Linked DNA regions of Drosophila melanogaster. The gene in region 3 interacts genetically with the main gene of each other region. Each region holds a gene or a part of one and is shown on either strand. Other genes may lie near its edges.

What was found. Genes that interact genetically often act in the same process or in processes that back each other up.
Region 1: of sn (region 3) and m, changing one enhances a phenotype caused by changing the other (phenotypic enhancement), as found in Drosophila melanogaster (one study listed by BioGRID).
Region 2: of sn (region 3) and f, changing one enhances a phenotype caused by changing the other (phenotypic enhancement), as found in Drosophila melanogaster (3 studies listed by BioGRID).

Annotation. Positions count from the first base shown.
Region 1 is NC_004354.4:11,752,678-11,757,315, reverse strand, and holds the start of m (miniature), read right to left. Parts: upstream 3,044-4,638; 5' UTR 2,734-3,043; intron 1,668-2,733; 5' UTR 1,571-1,667; intron 1-1,570.
Region 2 is NC_004354.4:17,257,474-17,262,416, forward strand, and holds the start of f (forked), read left to right. Parts: upstream 1-1,900; 5' UTR 1,901-2,001; coding exon 2,002-2,858; intron 2,859-4,943.
Region 3 is NC_004354.4:7,962,057-7,967,065, forward strand, and holds the start of sn (singed), read left to right. Parts: upstream 1-2,086; 5' UTR 2,087-2,116; intron 2,117-2,161; coding exon of another isoform or gene 2,162-2,893; intron 2,894-5,009. Other genes in the region: sws (swiss cheese), read right to left, coding at 1-168, 514-1,085, 1,152-2,086, 2,162-2,893. UniProt on the Drosophila melanogaster protein: Acts as an actin bundling protein. May have a role in the asymmetric organization and/or movement of cytoplasmic components. It has a role in somatic cells during the formation of adult bristles and hairs, and in the female germline during oogenesis.

The DNA.
Region 1 (4,638 bases), 3.8 Mb from region 3:
ACTATACGCCCTGTTTTGACCAAGTTGAGGGAAAACTTGTAAGAAAACTCTACGGATTGTATTAGTTGAATATTTACTTTTGACCGCATTGTTCTTTTTGTAAGCTCAACTCAACAACATTCCTAAGTGTTTGAGATATCTTAGCTTGATGAGCCCCATTGGGTCGATCAGCACTCTCACTTTTCTAACCGTTTCGTTGGGCCAAAGATGCACTAAAGGCCGAAATGTGCCACGAAAAGTTTCCATTTCATTATGGAATGTTTGTAGAAAGGCAAAGAACAGTTAGACGACGAGACGCCGGCATCTCAAGCTCAATAGACCCCCCTCCCCACCACACACACACACACACTATATTTTCCAGTGTCCGAAGTATCTTTGATGTTGGCTGAATACAAATTAACATTCTGTGAAAGAAAAGACTTGTCGACGAGGTTTTATCTTGTATCCGCATCTGCATATTGTACACGTCTTCGTATCTCTGTATCTGTATCTACTGTATTCATGTATCTGCTGCTTCTACGATGTATCTGCAAATGTGGATATGGTATATGGATGTGAAAGAGCACTGGGAATAGAATTTACTGGGTCGATCGCGGCAGCAGCTCATAAATTATGCGTCATCGATGAGTGGAGTCGAGGGGCACGGGAACAATGAATGAAGAAACCAAGGAACAGAATCAGACCTTGAATCGAAAAGTGTTAGGCGGTAAGGTAAAGCCGCTTAGGGTCCCACCAATAATGGTTAAAGCCAATCATTTGAGGCCAAACAAAGAGATAGTCCAGCGTGGAGATAGCTGCCGTTGTCCGATATACTGATTCCCAATAGCGATTCCGAATGCGAATGCGAATTGCGACAACGAGACTTGCAACTTGCTGGTTGCAACCTGGCAACTTGCATTTATGGCCAAGTCGCGTGTTTGTTTGCTGCTGCCAATCTGGCCTCCTGGAATTGAGTTTATTGTGCCACAGCGGCGTGCTTTGGATTGTCGCATCAGCTTAATTAGAATTCGAAGTAGTTAACGGTGCATTTAATGCGCTCCAAAACGGATCAAATGCATTTGCACCGCTACCACTCACTTCTCCATCTACTTGGCCCCGTATCTGTGCAAAGATCTGTTCTATTTATCTGCTCTTCGCAGACTAATGAACCAAGTGCCAAGTGACGAAAGTTGTCATAACATTTCATTTGCTGCCTGTCGCATTGCCACACGGTTTAATGGTGGCAATGTGGCCAGTAAAAGATGTCAAAACAGTATGCTAATAAACGTGCTTTTGGCACTCTTATCCTCGCATTATCTGTCTGGCTTGTATCGAACATCGTCGTCTGGCTTGTTTAATTAATAAGCACATACTTTACATCCTTTGATTTAAGTTTGCTGGGGAATCTGATATTAAAAGCTTTATGGCCAGATAAAGACCACCAATAGTTGACTGCCTTATAAGATACAACGTGACCACAATTTCTTTTAAGAATCCTTACAGAGCAAGCTTACTCAACTATATTCTATTCTATATCTTACCCACTAAGTTTAGTAGTTTCAATAAAATATAGATAATGTGTGTAACTCACCGATAAGTTGTAATCTTTCCGAAGGTCAAGACACAGCTGAGTGTGTTACAGCTGCTCTGGACTCCTTATATTTCCGTTCTTTTGTGAAATCCCGGCTCTGCGTTTGGCAAATGCATTAAAATGTGAGTGAGGCACAAACAACAACAAAAAAAATAGCTAAATGGTGTAGCATAAAAATGTACAAAGCTGAGGAGGACAGAAGTGAAATCGGAACAGAACGGACCAAACCGAACCGGACCGCCTAACACGTAACGCAAATAAAGAAGAATCATCATCGTCATCAGAGACTTTTCAGTCCGAGTGAAGTCCGTGCTCATGGCGACTGATTGATGATTAGTTGCCATTTGACAGGTGTATGCGAGTTGTGCGGGGTGGCCGGGGACAGGGTGTGTGGGGGGGGGGGGGGTTAGAGAATTGGGGGCTTTGGAGTTCGGTCAATAAATAGTGCACCTGCTGGGCGTGTGGGAATACGATCCGCCAGATGACGTTGCTCTTTTTTATGGAACTCTAGCGTCTCGCGTCTCGTCTTCTTGGTACGTGTGATTGTTATGACTAACTATTATTATGTATGATTGTTATATTTTCCACACGGGAAAAACTTTGGAAAGTGCCAGCCGCCAAGGCGCAGTGCATGCAATACCTTTGATTTTGATTTCGATTCTGGCCAGGCTGAGAAGACACCACTCTGCTGGCAAGAGGTGCAGCAGAAGAATCAGTGGCAAAAGACGTGGACGCAGGGGCGCACAAGAAGCGGAGGCAACAAGCCAGCCGCATTTGTGCTAATTGGGAAAATTAGAAAGCATGAAATGCTCGGCTGCATTTGCTGTCTAGCTGGTTAATCGGCTCCACTGTCGGTCCAAGAAGACGAGGCAGAAGATGCTGGAAAGACTAAGATTGGATGTTTCACAGAACTCAAGCAATGCAATTGGCTCTGCGGAGAGAGGAATACGAATAAGATGCAGGAATGACAGATCCTGGATAAAGTCTTCACAGGAAGCAAAAGAAATAGACTTAAGATGTTGGAAAGCCGTGGACTGGCTTCTCCAAAGAATAGAATAAGTTTCTGGTTGCAAATCGTGGATATTTCACACAACTCTAAATTCAAATTGGCAATATGACAAAAACAAAAAAATTATTTGCTTTTGGATGGAAGAAACACTCACTTCGCGGGAACGTTTCTTCTCAACTCTCTTCTCGTTCTTTCTCGGTATCTTGCTAAGCTTAAGCAAGTAACGGTAACAGGCAGTGGCAACAACAAGAACAATAAAAAAAAATTGCACTAACACTTGTAAGCACTTCGGGTGGTGTTACTTATTTGATTTTCTATTTTATTTGAAATTTATTTATTTTATCAACATTTGTTGTAGGCGCGACTGGGCAGCACACTGGGCATCGGATCACGGATCACGATCACCGATCACGACCGTTAGCAGCAGCAGCACGTGTGGACTCGGCGAGCGACGAACGCGAAATACGCGAGCCAGCCAGGCGATACTTTCTTTGGCCTCGTAATGTAACTGTCGGGAACAGCAGCCGCAGCAGCAGCCGAAGAAAGAGGCAACAGCAGCAGCAGCACAAGAAGAAGAAGAAGCAGCAGCACAAGCACAGAAGAGTGAGCAAAAGAGAAAGGGGGAGAGAGGCAGCGCAAGAAGCTGGCAAAGCTAGACACGCACACACACACACACACACACACAAGCACACTGAGAGAGTAGCTCTGCCTGCGCCGACTGCGACTGCGCAACGAGCTTTTTACACCTGCGTTGGCAGCTGCGCAAATGAGCACAGCTCAGCCAGAACTTGTTGTTGTTATTGTTGCGATTGTTGTTGTTGTTGTTGGTGGCGCTAATCAAGCGGCCTAATGACATAGAATAGCCTGCCAATTAGACGACCAATAAAAAGAAACTTACATCTAGCACTTCAATAAAAATACATTCGAACGCCCACTCAATCAGCAGAAGATCGCGAGATTTTGAAAACTCCTCCTGCAGGAAAATGGCAACGCAGTGGAAAGCTGGCAGCGCAGCCGACGTTGACGTCGGGAATTTGGCGCACTTGAACTTGAACTTTCGGCGCGCTCGTTTCGTAGAGAAGCTTTCGACTTAATGGATACCCCTAAGTGTTCCCCATACATTAAATGATTGCATTATGAAACACGTAATAGGATTATAAGAAAATCTCGATGAATTTGAAGCTTATATTTATTTAAAATAATTTAATTATGAAACGTAAAAAACTCTTCAAAAGTAATAATTAAAATGTAAACACCTTGATACCATTCATGAAAAGTATAACGATTAATAACAACTTCATACCTTATCCGAAAAATACTGCACGCATGCAGGGCGAAATATTGTAGCCAGCTTTTCAGGTGGGCAAGGTGCATAAGTTAGCGTTTTGGGTCTGGGAACCGATCTGCCGGCTCATAACGGTTAAACAGTTTTCGCCCGTCGTTGACAACTAATCAAGATGGGAACAGAAGTTGATCAGAGCTGATTTGAGCAATAAACAAAAAAAAAACAAAATCCGTTTCCTCTTGCGATCTTAAGCTCTATCTCTCTTTAGCACACATCGGAATTGGCAAGCTTACACATACATTTGCACGCCAAGAATCTGCAACGGTTTCCATGCTGGCTCTTCTTTTCCTCGTTCTTCTTCTTCCTCTTGGTCTTCTACTTGGCAGCTGCTTTTCTCCATATTTGTTGTTAGTGTTTGAGAGGCTGCTCCTCGCTCCACACTCGCTCTCTCGTTCTCCCTGTCTCTCTCCGTCTCTTTCCCACGTGCTGGGTCTATCTCTCTTTGTAGACTGGGCGCATTTAAACGGTAAACATCATGAATGCATTTGGAAAGTGGTTGTGTTGTGGTTCGTGGTGTTTGCATTTTGCATTTCTTCGCATTCTTTTCTGTTTATGTGGCTGTTGCTGTGTGTTGCATCGCACAATTGTGCCAACAACAAGGCGGAGAAATGTGAAGAGCCAGAAGAATCAGAAGAGCCAGCGGCAGAAGCAGAACAACAGCAACGGTAATACCCACCGAAGACGGCGTTTTCATTTCTGAGAATTGATTGGCCG
Region 2 (4,943 bases), 9.3 Mb from region 3:
ATGAGTCACACAGCTGGAAAAGCCGGGTGGAAAAGTACGGAGGAAAAGCGCGCAGGTGGAGTTGCTCAATTGCCACTCAAGAAGCTGCAAGCCAGCCCCAATTCATTTACATTCGCCACGCCTGAGTTGAGCCCGTTCTAGGGGCACAAACTCTATATAGTTACATACTATAAAGTATATAGCATAATTGATATTTGGCATGCCTCGAGTACAATAGGCACTTCGTGTGGCAAATGATTTAGAAGGCAATGAGAACTATAAACACTAGGCGGATATTTTGCAACTTAATTGCATATTTTCTATAGAAATTAGCTAAACTTCGATCAAGGCAAATGGAAAACGATGATGAAATTGGCCTTAAGTAGCTGAAATAATTATAAAGACTATTATGTACTATAACAAATATGTTTTACAAAAAATATTTACATATTTAAAATATTTACAAACGTAATTTTAAATAATTCTTTTTATAGTTATAGGATAAAATATATTATAACATCTTCAACAATTCATGAACAGATAAATAATAAAAATATTTTCCAATAGATCAACGTGAAATTATAGTTAAGAGATATGATTAATTCGTTTCAAGTATTGTTTTATGAACCTATATTTGTACTATATATGTGGACTATAAAAGGGCCTATTTCACTGTCGCAATTGTTGGTTAATTTGGCCAATACAATGCCAATGGCCCGATGCCGTCAATTAGCCGAGAATAGAATTGTGAACTCGAATTGCAGAATGGCCAGCAACAGCGGTGATAATACCAACAACTATGGGCTTTAGTTAATATTACTATGCATGCCAGTGTTGTTGTTTCTGTTGTTGCTGACGCGTGCTCAGCCGAGTGAAGCGACGTCGACGTCGACGCCGTCAGAGGGTTGCCCCAGAGCAGAGTTGACATGGCAGTGAGCGTGAAAAATAAATAAATAATACAATCAGAGGGGCAGCTAAGCCCGCGACTCTTCAATATTGAGCAAACGTTGAACGTGCACAGAGAGAAAATGCTAGCCTGAGTCCGGGCAAAGTGGATGTAAATCACCTTTAATAGCTTCAGTCCGAACCTGCTAGAAAGTGATTTAAAATGAGTGAAAAGTAAGATAAAAATTAAAATGTTTAAATACGAAAATAAACTTGCAAATAAAAAGCAGTAAAGTCATACAATAAATCTAAGTTTTAGAAGTAGACCGTTAGTGAATAATTGAACAGTTTTACAAGTTGTCGATCCTGTCACACTTGAAATAAATAACTAAAGAAATAGGTATTAAATGACGCAGAAGTCACTCAAGTTCCTATTTAAAAAGGTAAAATGTTTTTTAAAAGTAAATTTGTTTTCATTTTGTTTTGAAAAATATGGTCATTTAGATTGTAAATATTGTATTTAATTTTTTTTTATTTGCAAAATTACAATTATTACTATTATTAAGAGTATTCATTATAGTTAAGTGTGTTAAAATTAATAAAAAAAAATTTAAGTAGATATTAAATGGGCATTTGCAATATTTGTAGCTGCGTGTAGCTGCGGCAGCAGTGGCATATCGGCAAACAAAGCGGCACCAACAACACCAGCAGCTCCAACAAAACAGCCCATAATCACAATTACAATAACAAAAACATTTACATCAACAATAACAATAACAATAACAGAGAAGAGCAGCAACAGAAAACTCTTAATCATGAGTGGCGTTTGGCTGGCAGCGCAGCTGGCGCAACGTTTTTGCATAGGAATCCGACTGCGGATTTTGAAGTTGTATCTTTTTTGGCCAGCGAACATTTGCGTCGCCGGCGTCACGGAGCGCGGACGCGACAAACGCGACATTGCCGAGCGGAAACCGGAAAACGAGCGGGTTTTCAGAAAATCAGAAACAGAACGCAATCAGTGACATAAAGTCAACTAGTTCGGGAATTTGGGGGAACGAATTTTCGGGGTGGGAACGAACGTACAAATACGTATATAGAACCAAAACCAGAAGAGGAACAAGCCACGAAACGAATCCAATGGCCAGTTGTGCGCCGGTGATCGTGTGGAACGGTGCTCAGTTTACGGCCAGCAGCAGGGAGCTGGAGCAGCTGCGTCGCGATTACGGTCTGGATGCTCGGATGTTGGAGGCGACACTGGTGCCGCGATATAAACGCCACAAGCCGCAGGCAGCGGCACGGAATGATCACGTTCGTGTGACCAAGGAGCAGCAATCGGATTGGATCCTCAAGCAGGATCGCAGCACCAACGTCAGCCAGGTGAACTTCCATCCCTGGGCGGGTGCTCACTTCGACTTGGTGCCCTGGCGTCGCACGCGATCCGCTTTGGATTTGACAGCAGTGGAGGATTACAATCACGGTCTGGTCGATCCCAAATCGCTGAAGGGTCTGGAGAAATTGGAGCTGAGACAGCAGCGCAGGAGGTTACAGCGCGCCAGGTCAACGCATCAGGGTCTCCGGCGATTGGTGCGCGTCCGCTTGATCTTCTCCATCGAGCTGCGGCACAAGCGGATGGAGGTGCTAAGGAAAAGTTCGCTGCCCGTGCGGGTTTTCGAGCAGCGCTTTGCCCTCTCGGAAAACGAGAGCGCCGCCTACGAGCGCATCCTGCTGGATGCCAATGCGGGAGTGGACCAACATGTGGGCTATTTTAGCAAGAGGCAAGTGGTTACATCCAACCGGGAATCCAACGAAGAGTTGGTGGTGGATTTCGCAAGCGAAACGGAGGCGGATGAGAAGGCAGATGAGCAGCCGGAAAAGGAGGAGGCCCAATATGCCACAATAGCTCCAGCGGAAAAAGGAGGCAGTGCAGCAGTGCCCGACAAGGAATCCGGCCAGGTGCCATGCGTCAAGTGCCGCGATATTGCCATCAAATTGAGGTAAAAGAAATCGCTAGAAAAAATAAACAAAAACGGCAAACCAGAACACAAATTAGCTGCAAAAATAGACGAGCGCCAAAATCAATTAGTTACAGTAATATGTCGATAAAGACTACAAACAAGTGCAAATTCTACAATAATATGGGAGTGCAAGAAATATCAATTTATTGACTATGGTTCTATATTTAGTGCTATATTTTTTTAAGTGCTACCCGAAATATTTGATATCAGTGCAACCTTTAAAAAATCTTTGGAAACTCGTATTATTATTTAATGAGTCTGTTGCCACGACAAAATCCGGGATGGGTATATAATTTATAGTTTTTACCCATCGGATTATGTGCGAACTTTTGGATCGAAAGCAGCTTGCAAATTTCCCACAAACTCTCCGGCTTTCCCATTTCATAAAAACCCACAGATCTTCATGAGTATAATTTCTTAAATGATTATTTTCTTCCGTTCTCTGTTCTTTCACTTTTTCCGAACTTTGACCATCCCCTTCCTCTCCCATACATATTTACTTAACTATTTATGTTTTTGTTTTGATGCTATGAACGAAAGGTTAATAGAAACAAACTCTAAAGTCTGTAGATTATTAAACTATTTGTATTGTTTAATACTCACTTAAAGCAGCTTGCCTTGAAAGGTTTATAATTTTGCTTTTTGAATTACAGTATTAACCGCATGGATGCGTTTGCCATGCTCATTAGTATCTTAGCCAAAAATATTTTGTATATAGGAGTATTGAGCAAATACATTTTTTAAATAGCTGCACGAATCAATAAGTCTAATGCGAACAGCCAATTGGAAATGTAAAATTTAGTTGTTTCACCTTTAAAATAAGTATTTACTTTCTGTTTACTTGAGTTATATCACGAGCCAGCGATCAAATGAAGCCAAAAAACAGAGGGCACCTCTTAACACCCTTAAAGATCATAATTTTCTTAACCCCCTTTGCCACTTCAGTTGACCAACTGGCCTGCAATGCTATTGCCAAATAGCTTATTTCACTTTTTTCTTTCTCAGCTAAATGTTTGTGAGTTTTGTCGGATTGTTAGCTTTGTTGGCTATGTTGGCTTTGTGGTTTTCGTGGGTTTCATGGGCTCGGTGGCACCTGCCCTGTTTTGTTGACACCTGCTACCGGCCCGCTTCCATTTTCCATTTGCCATTTGGTGTGTTCGGCGATGCCAGCGTTGATGCAATAAACTGGAAGAAAGTGTCGTCTTCGCGGCTTTCTGTTTCTTTTTGTTGCCACAAGAGGAAAGCAGCGACAAACGAGCAAAGACAAACGAGATCCATCCACAAATGCCCGGTATTTTCGCATTTTAATGCTGGCGGCGCTGCTTCTCAGCTTTCAATTAATGTGTCGCCGTGTGTATTGTTTCTCTTAGCATTATTATTATGATTGTTATTGTTTATTTGTGCCGCGGAAACGGCAATCAGGTGAGTCAGCAGCAGACTTGACCTGGTTTAGTGATTCGGAAAAGGGCACTCAGTGAATCCAAGTGCAGCCCAAGATGCGCACAAAGATGCCATCAAAATTAATAACCATCACTTCCCCCGGCCAATTAATTAATTAAAAGTTGTGCCTAAATGGCTGTCAAGCAAACAATTTAATAACAATGAGCAATTTTCGTGGGCTATATTGAACATGCTACTAGATTTGCAACAAGAGTAAAAAAAAAACAATTAGCTATTAGTAAAGAGAAAAATGAAATAAAAGTGAATTTTAAGGAAATTTGTAACTAATTTGCTTCGCAACAAAGGTAAACTTATATATTATTTAGTGTTCCTAGATATTAGTAAAAAGGAAGGCGTTAAATGAATTTCAATAATATATTAAATATTTAGTTTTAAAATTGTGTTGCACTTTCTTGGCAAGTTCGTGTCTTAAGTCCTTAGCTTAGTGTGTAAGTTTGTGTCTTAAGTCATTTGTTTGGGGTGCAGAAAAGTAGACTGCAATTGGAGATACAAAGCAAGCTGAAAAGTATGCAATATTTTTTCTCTGCTGACCCTTGTCAAAGGAGATCGGGAAATGAGATCCCTCGGTTGCCTTCTATTGAGCCTCCTTGGTGGGCGAGATCT
Region 3 (5,009 bases):
AGCGCTGTGTCCACGCGCTCAGCGAACTGTCACACTGATAGAGGGTGATGATGTTTCGGTCCTCCTGCTGCGCCAGCCACGAGGTTAGACGATACTCGTTGGCTGCCTCAAAGATGTTGGAGCCCAGCTGCTTGCGCACCACATCGGAGGTCAAACGGAGAACGGGTCCTGAGCGAGAAACAGAAGAGAAACGTTACAATTGGCGGTTATATCGGAGATTCAGTGCAGCAATGTGAAACGTTACCGGACTTATCCATCGTGTTCTGAATAAATCTTAGCGGAAAAGAAGTGTAAAAGATTCTATATGCTGAAATCTCGCTATGCCTGGGACTTTGTCCTCTTATTACCTTTTCATAGTTTTTATATTTAAAGTGAACATTTAACTATCATAGAACCTTGTATAGCTACAGAGACATATATATCCCTTTCATTCTTCTTAATCAATGACAAATAATAATGTATAGATAGTACTATTGTCCCACAGATTGGAGCGCTCACTAGCTTTATACGAACCTATGGCACAGAGCGAGTGGTAGAGCTCGTAGGTGAAGGGCGTCATCGGCACCTCGTCGGTGATGGGCACCAGGGCCACCGTGGAGTACTTGTGCGTGACGGGATTGGCCTCGACGGGCGCGCCCGGCGCCCCGCTGCCCGAGCGCGTCTGCATCGAGCCGAGGAAGCGGTGGCTAAGGAAGCTAATCAGCTTGGTCACCACGATGGGGTAGCGCAGCTTGATGGCATTGAACAGGCCCTCGGGCAGCTTGGCCAGCTCCGAGTCGCGCACAGCCATCACCGTCGTGGTGCGCGACGTTTCCGTGATCATTTCAACGATGCCCACAAGATCCCCCTTGCCGTATTCGCCGACGATCTCCTTTTTGCCACCAGGATGCGTGATAACCGAACGCATTCGCCCGCTAAGCACAATATATGTGCTGTCGCTGCTCTCGTCCTGCCGATAGACAGCTCTGCCCGATTCCAGAAAGATCCAGTCCAAGGCATAGTCACACTGCCTCACCAGAGGCGATAGACGGCGTACTACTCCGTTGCCCAGATCCAAAACAATGCGTGGTCGTTGTCGCATGATCCTGTCGAGGAAATAAAGCAATCATAAAGCAATCATTTTACTTCATTATGTAAACGCCCAAACTTACTGGTAAATAGCTGCTCGTCGGATGAAGGCTATTCTGGTGATGCTTCTCGATCGAATGGTATACGCACTGGCCTCTCCCGTTAGCATGGCCAGTCCACCAACGATTTCGCCGGGATGCACAAAGTGAATGAGCATGTCGCTCTTATCCTGCTTGGCCCGCGTGGCATCCTGATTGCTCTGGTAAACAGCCAATGTGCCCGTCATCACAAACCAAACGCAAACATCGTCCGCATTGCCCTCCGTAATCAGGGTGACATTCGGCTCCAGTTCCCTTAACTCTACAAAAGGCTCAATGATGTGGGAATCCTCCTCGGACAGACCCAATTCCTTGCGTAGGCTGTCCACCGCTGAGGATTGCACCAGGCGCATGTCTATCGAGGTTGTCACACCGGGTGTCTGTAGACACGAGTGCGAACCATCGGGTGCCATCAGAGTTATGGAACTGCGACGCGTGGATAGGTTGCCCACCGAATGCTGCTGCTGCTGCTGATGGAATAGATCTGCATTGGGCGCATCGCCATGCACCTCGGTGAACAGATTGGTAGTGCCGTGAAAACTACCATCCGGATTTGGATTCGGATCGGATAGCGTGTGCTCCTCGCGCGAGTGTCGCGATGGCGAGGATGGTGGTCGAGTTACGGTCACCGAGACACCCGATGATCCCGTTCCCGAAACAGCGGACTGCATCAGATTCATCTGGCTGATCACCATGGGCGGCCCATTGGGCGCCTGGCGTGAGGATTGCGAGGTCTGCGAGTTAATCGGTCCACTCATTGTGGATACGCTCTTGTAGCGCATGTGATTCTGCACCAGTTCGGCATTTAGACCGAGGTAGTTGCGCAAAGCGGTGAACAGTACGCGTTGTAGCCGGATCATAATCACCTGGATGACGCGAATCATTACGTCCGGATTGTCCTGGAACACCTCTTCGAATGCCTGCCAAAGCAAGGAGGAAAAAAATAAGAAGTAAGTGAGTGTTCAATGAACATTTAGTTTAGTTAGATAAACTACCTGCATGGGCAGACGAATGACCACCGATTTCTCAATGGCTTTGGCGGTGACCGTCTTATAGTAGCTGGGATTCCCCGACAGGACATCAATAAAGCTGAGCAGCGATGTCACCGACTCGCCCTTCCTGACCGTCTTCAATGATAGTGTGCTGCCATCGGCATTGGAGATGTACACATTGATCATGCCCGATTGAACGATATAGACGCTATCGTCCGGATCGGTTATCTTAAACAAATAGTCGCCGGCCATCAGTTCCAGCAATTGGGTGTGCTTGCAGAGCCGCAAAAAGACCGGCTTCTCGAAATGTCCAAAAATGCGAATGCTCTGGAGCATATAGAGTGCATCGGGCGGAACTCTATCGCTGCCCTCGATTGTCTCCTCCAGATACTCGGCTGGCGGCTCCACGGTGCGCATCTCTAGCGGCATATTATCCCGCCTCAGCTGGAGTATCCTTCTCGCGAAACGCATGACAGCACGACGCTTGTAGCCCTTACCGCTGCTGTACATTTGACCGCTCACGTTCTTCATTTTGCGCAGCATTCGACGGCCGTAGAATAGCATCTTGTCACGCTTCCGGAAACGCAGGCCACGCATATCGCCGGATGAATTGGTTACGGTGCTAATGGAACGGGCAATCTCGTCGCGCAAACGCAAACGTGCCATTCGTTTGAAGTATAAGAACCAGGCTATGAAGAGCAGGCTCATCATTACCAGGGCGAAATACATGTACACCTGCAAAGGAATTTGTATAAGATAGCGCGCAATTAGTTGATTCCTCAGTTCAAAGGCCTTCATTATAATGGCTGTGGAGTTTGGTAGAACTCTTTGCTGCAACCACGTGAAAACTGTCTGATTTCCTCGGAAGTTGAAATCGATGTCATATCGAGCTGGTTCCAAACTTAACATTCTTAATAGAGCTATTAAAGGCTAATATAAAGAAAATCTATATATATATATAAGAAAATGTTTTTTTTTTTTTTTTTTGTTATTCTTGATCTAAAATTGAACTAAAAGTGTTTGAAGTGTTTGAAAGTGTTTTTGAAGTAAAATGAAAGGGTAATCTAACTATGATATAATATGCTTTTGATTCTATATGGTTTTTCACTTTTGCTGAAATGCAAAACAAAAAAATGTGAATTCTTGTACTAATGTGCCAACTCCTTTGCTAAATCACGTTTCTTAATTATTAATTAATTGGTTAATTAGTTTCCCATTCTTCTTCAGCTTATGACATTGAAACGAAAGGATATAAGGGTTTTTGATGTCGTCTCCAATATGATTTTCATTTCGTATTTTCCACGTCGCCCAGTTATTTAGGATGAATTATTTAGCACGAAGACACTTGGAATTTCCCAAAAGCAAGTGTCACGCCCGTGTAATCAAGTGCATCAGCTGTGTTTTGTTGTTATTTTCCCTAAATCTTGTTGTTGCACTCGGCACTTTGACATTGAAACGGCGACGCAACGTCGCTGCACATACATATGTATGTATGTATGTATGTATGTTTGTTTTATTGTTTGTTGCTAGCGGTTCTGAGTGAGTTGTTCTTGTTCGATGCGGTTGTTGTTGTTGCATTTGCTGTTTTTGTTGTGGCAGTAGTTTCTCGGGCAATTTGTTGTTGCTGCTACCCATTTGTTATTGTCTGCAGTTTCCGCATTTGATACTACACAGCGCGAAAAATGTAGCGTTTTCTCGCACTTCATTAAACGTTAATTATAGTGGCGTAGTTTCGATTTCTTTCGATAGAAATAAACATTTTTTTTTAATCTATAAGTTGCACATTTTCTTTCTCACTGTGCACCTTACTGTTTGTCTTTTATTACCCCCAGCAATTATTGTTTGTTTACAGTTTATTTTTACAACAGGTTTGCAAAATGTACAAGAAAAAATGCCATAAATACCAATTGACTCAGTCGGTCTAATTGGAAGCCGAAGCTGCGCCACACACGCACTTATCCAATTGGATTTGCTTTGATCTAATCGGACAGCACACACATACACACACTCGCATAACAACACGATAATGATAAAATTCGCGCAGTCACAAGGCGGCTAAATTGATTTGGCCCCAAGGGGTTAATTGAATTATTGAAAACTGATTTCGTACGCACCCCCCGCCCACGATTGCACGTGCTTCTGATTAGCAATCGGTTATCATAGTTATCAGCTCGGGTGGTTTAGTTTTTCTTTTTTTTTTTTTGCTTGCTTCGGGGTCGCCTGGGTGTCATTATCAATACTATGGTCGTGTGGTGTTATCATGTGGCTACTGTAGTCAGTGGTTTTTGTTTTTCATTCGTTTTGTTTTATGTAAGGCCACAAAACAATTTCGATTTGTGGCGACAAATGAAAACACGGAAGTTTCCCCTTTTCTCTTCCGGTTTTTCTCTTTTCTTATCATTTGGCTGGGTTCTAAGAGAGATTAGAGTCCTGAAATCCACACTTGCCTTAGCCTGTATCGTTCTAAACTTTAGCTGGGGTCTAAACTTCAATCCGCTGATAGGGTTTACTAGAACTAAGTTATGGTAAACTAGTCAGGAACAGCGACTATTTCGATTCTTCTACCTATAAATCTAAGTACTTAACCTATGATGTCTGGCCGACATTTATTCGTCAAGCTAACATTTTGTAAAAATTTTTTTTTAGAAAAATTTCCATAAAGATAATGGGATTACACATTAAAAAATCGCATACAAAATACAGTGGAATTTTCTAACAGGTGTTTGCTCTCAATACTCAAGTGGGTTTTCTTGAATAATGTCTGTTTACTTTACTTTAACTACTTAGGTCTGCTTTATCGCTCATTCTGTGATTTTTATCAGGGGACCTAATCTTTATGGATGTTGTCACA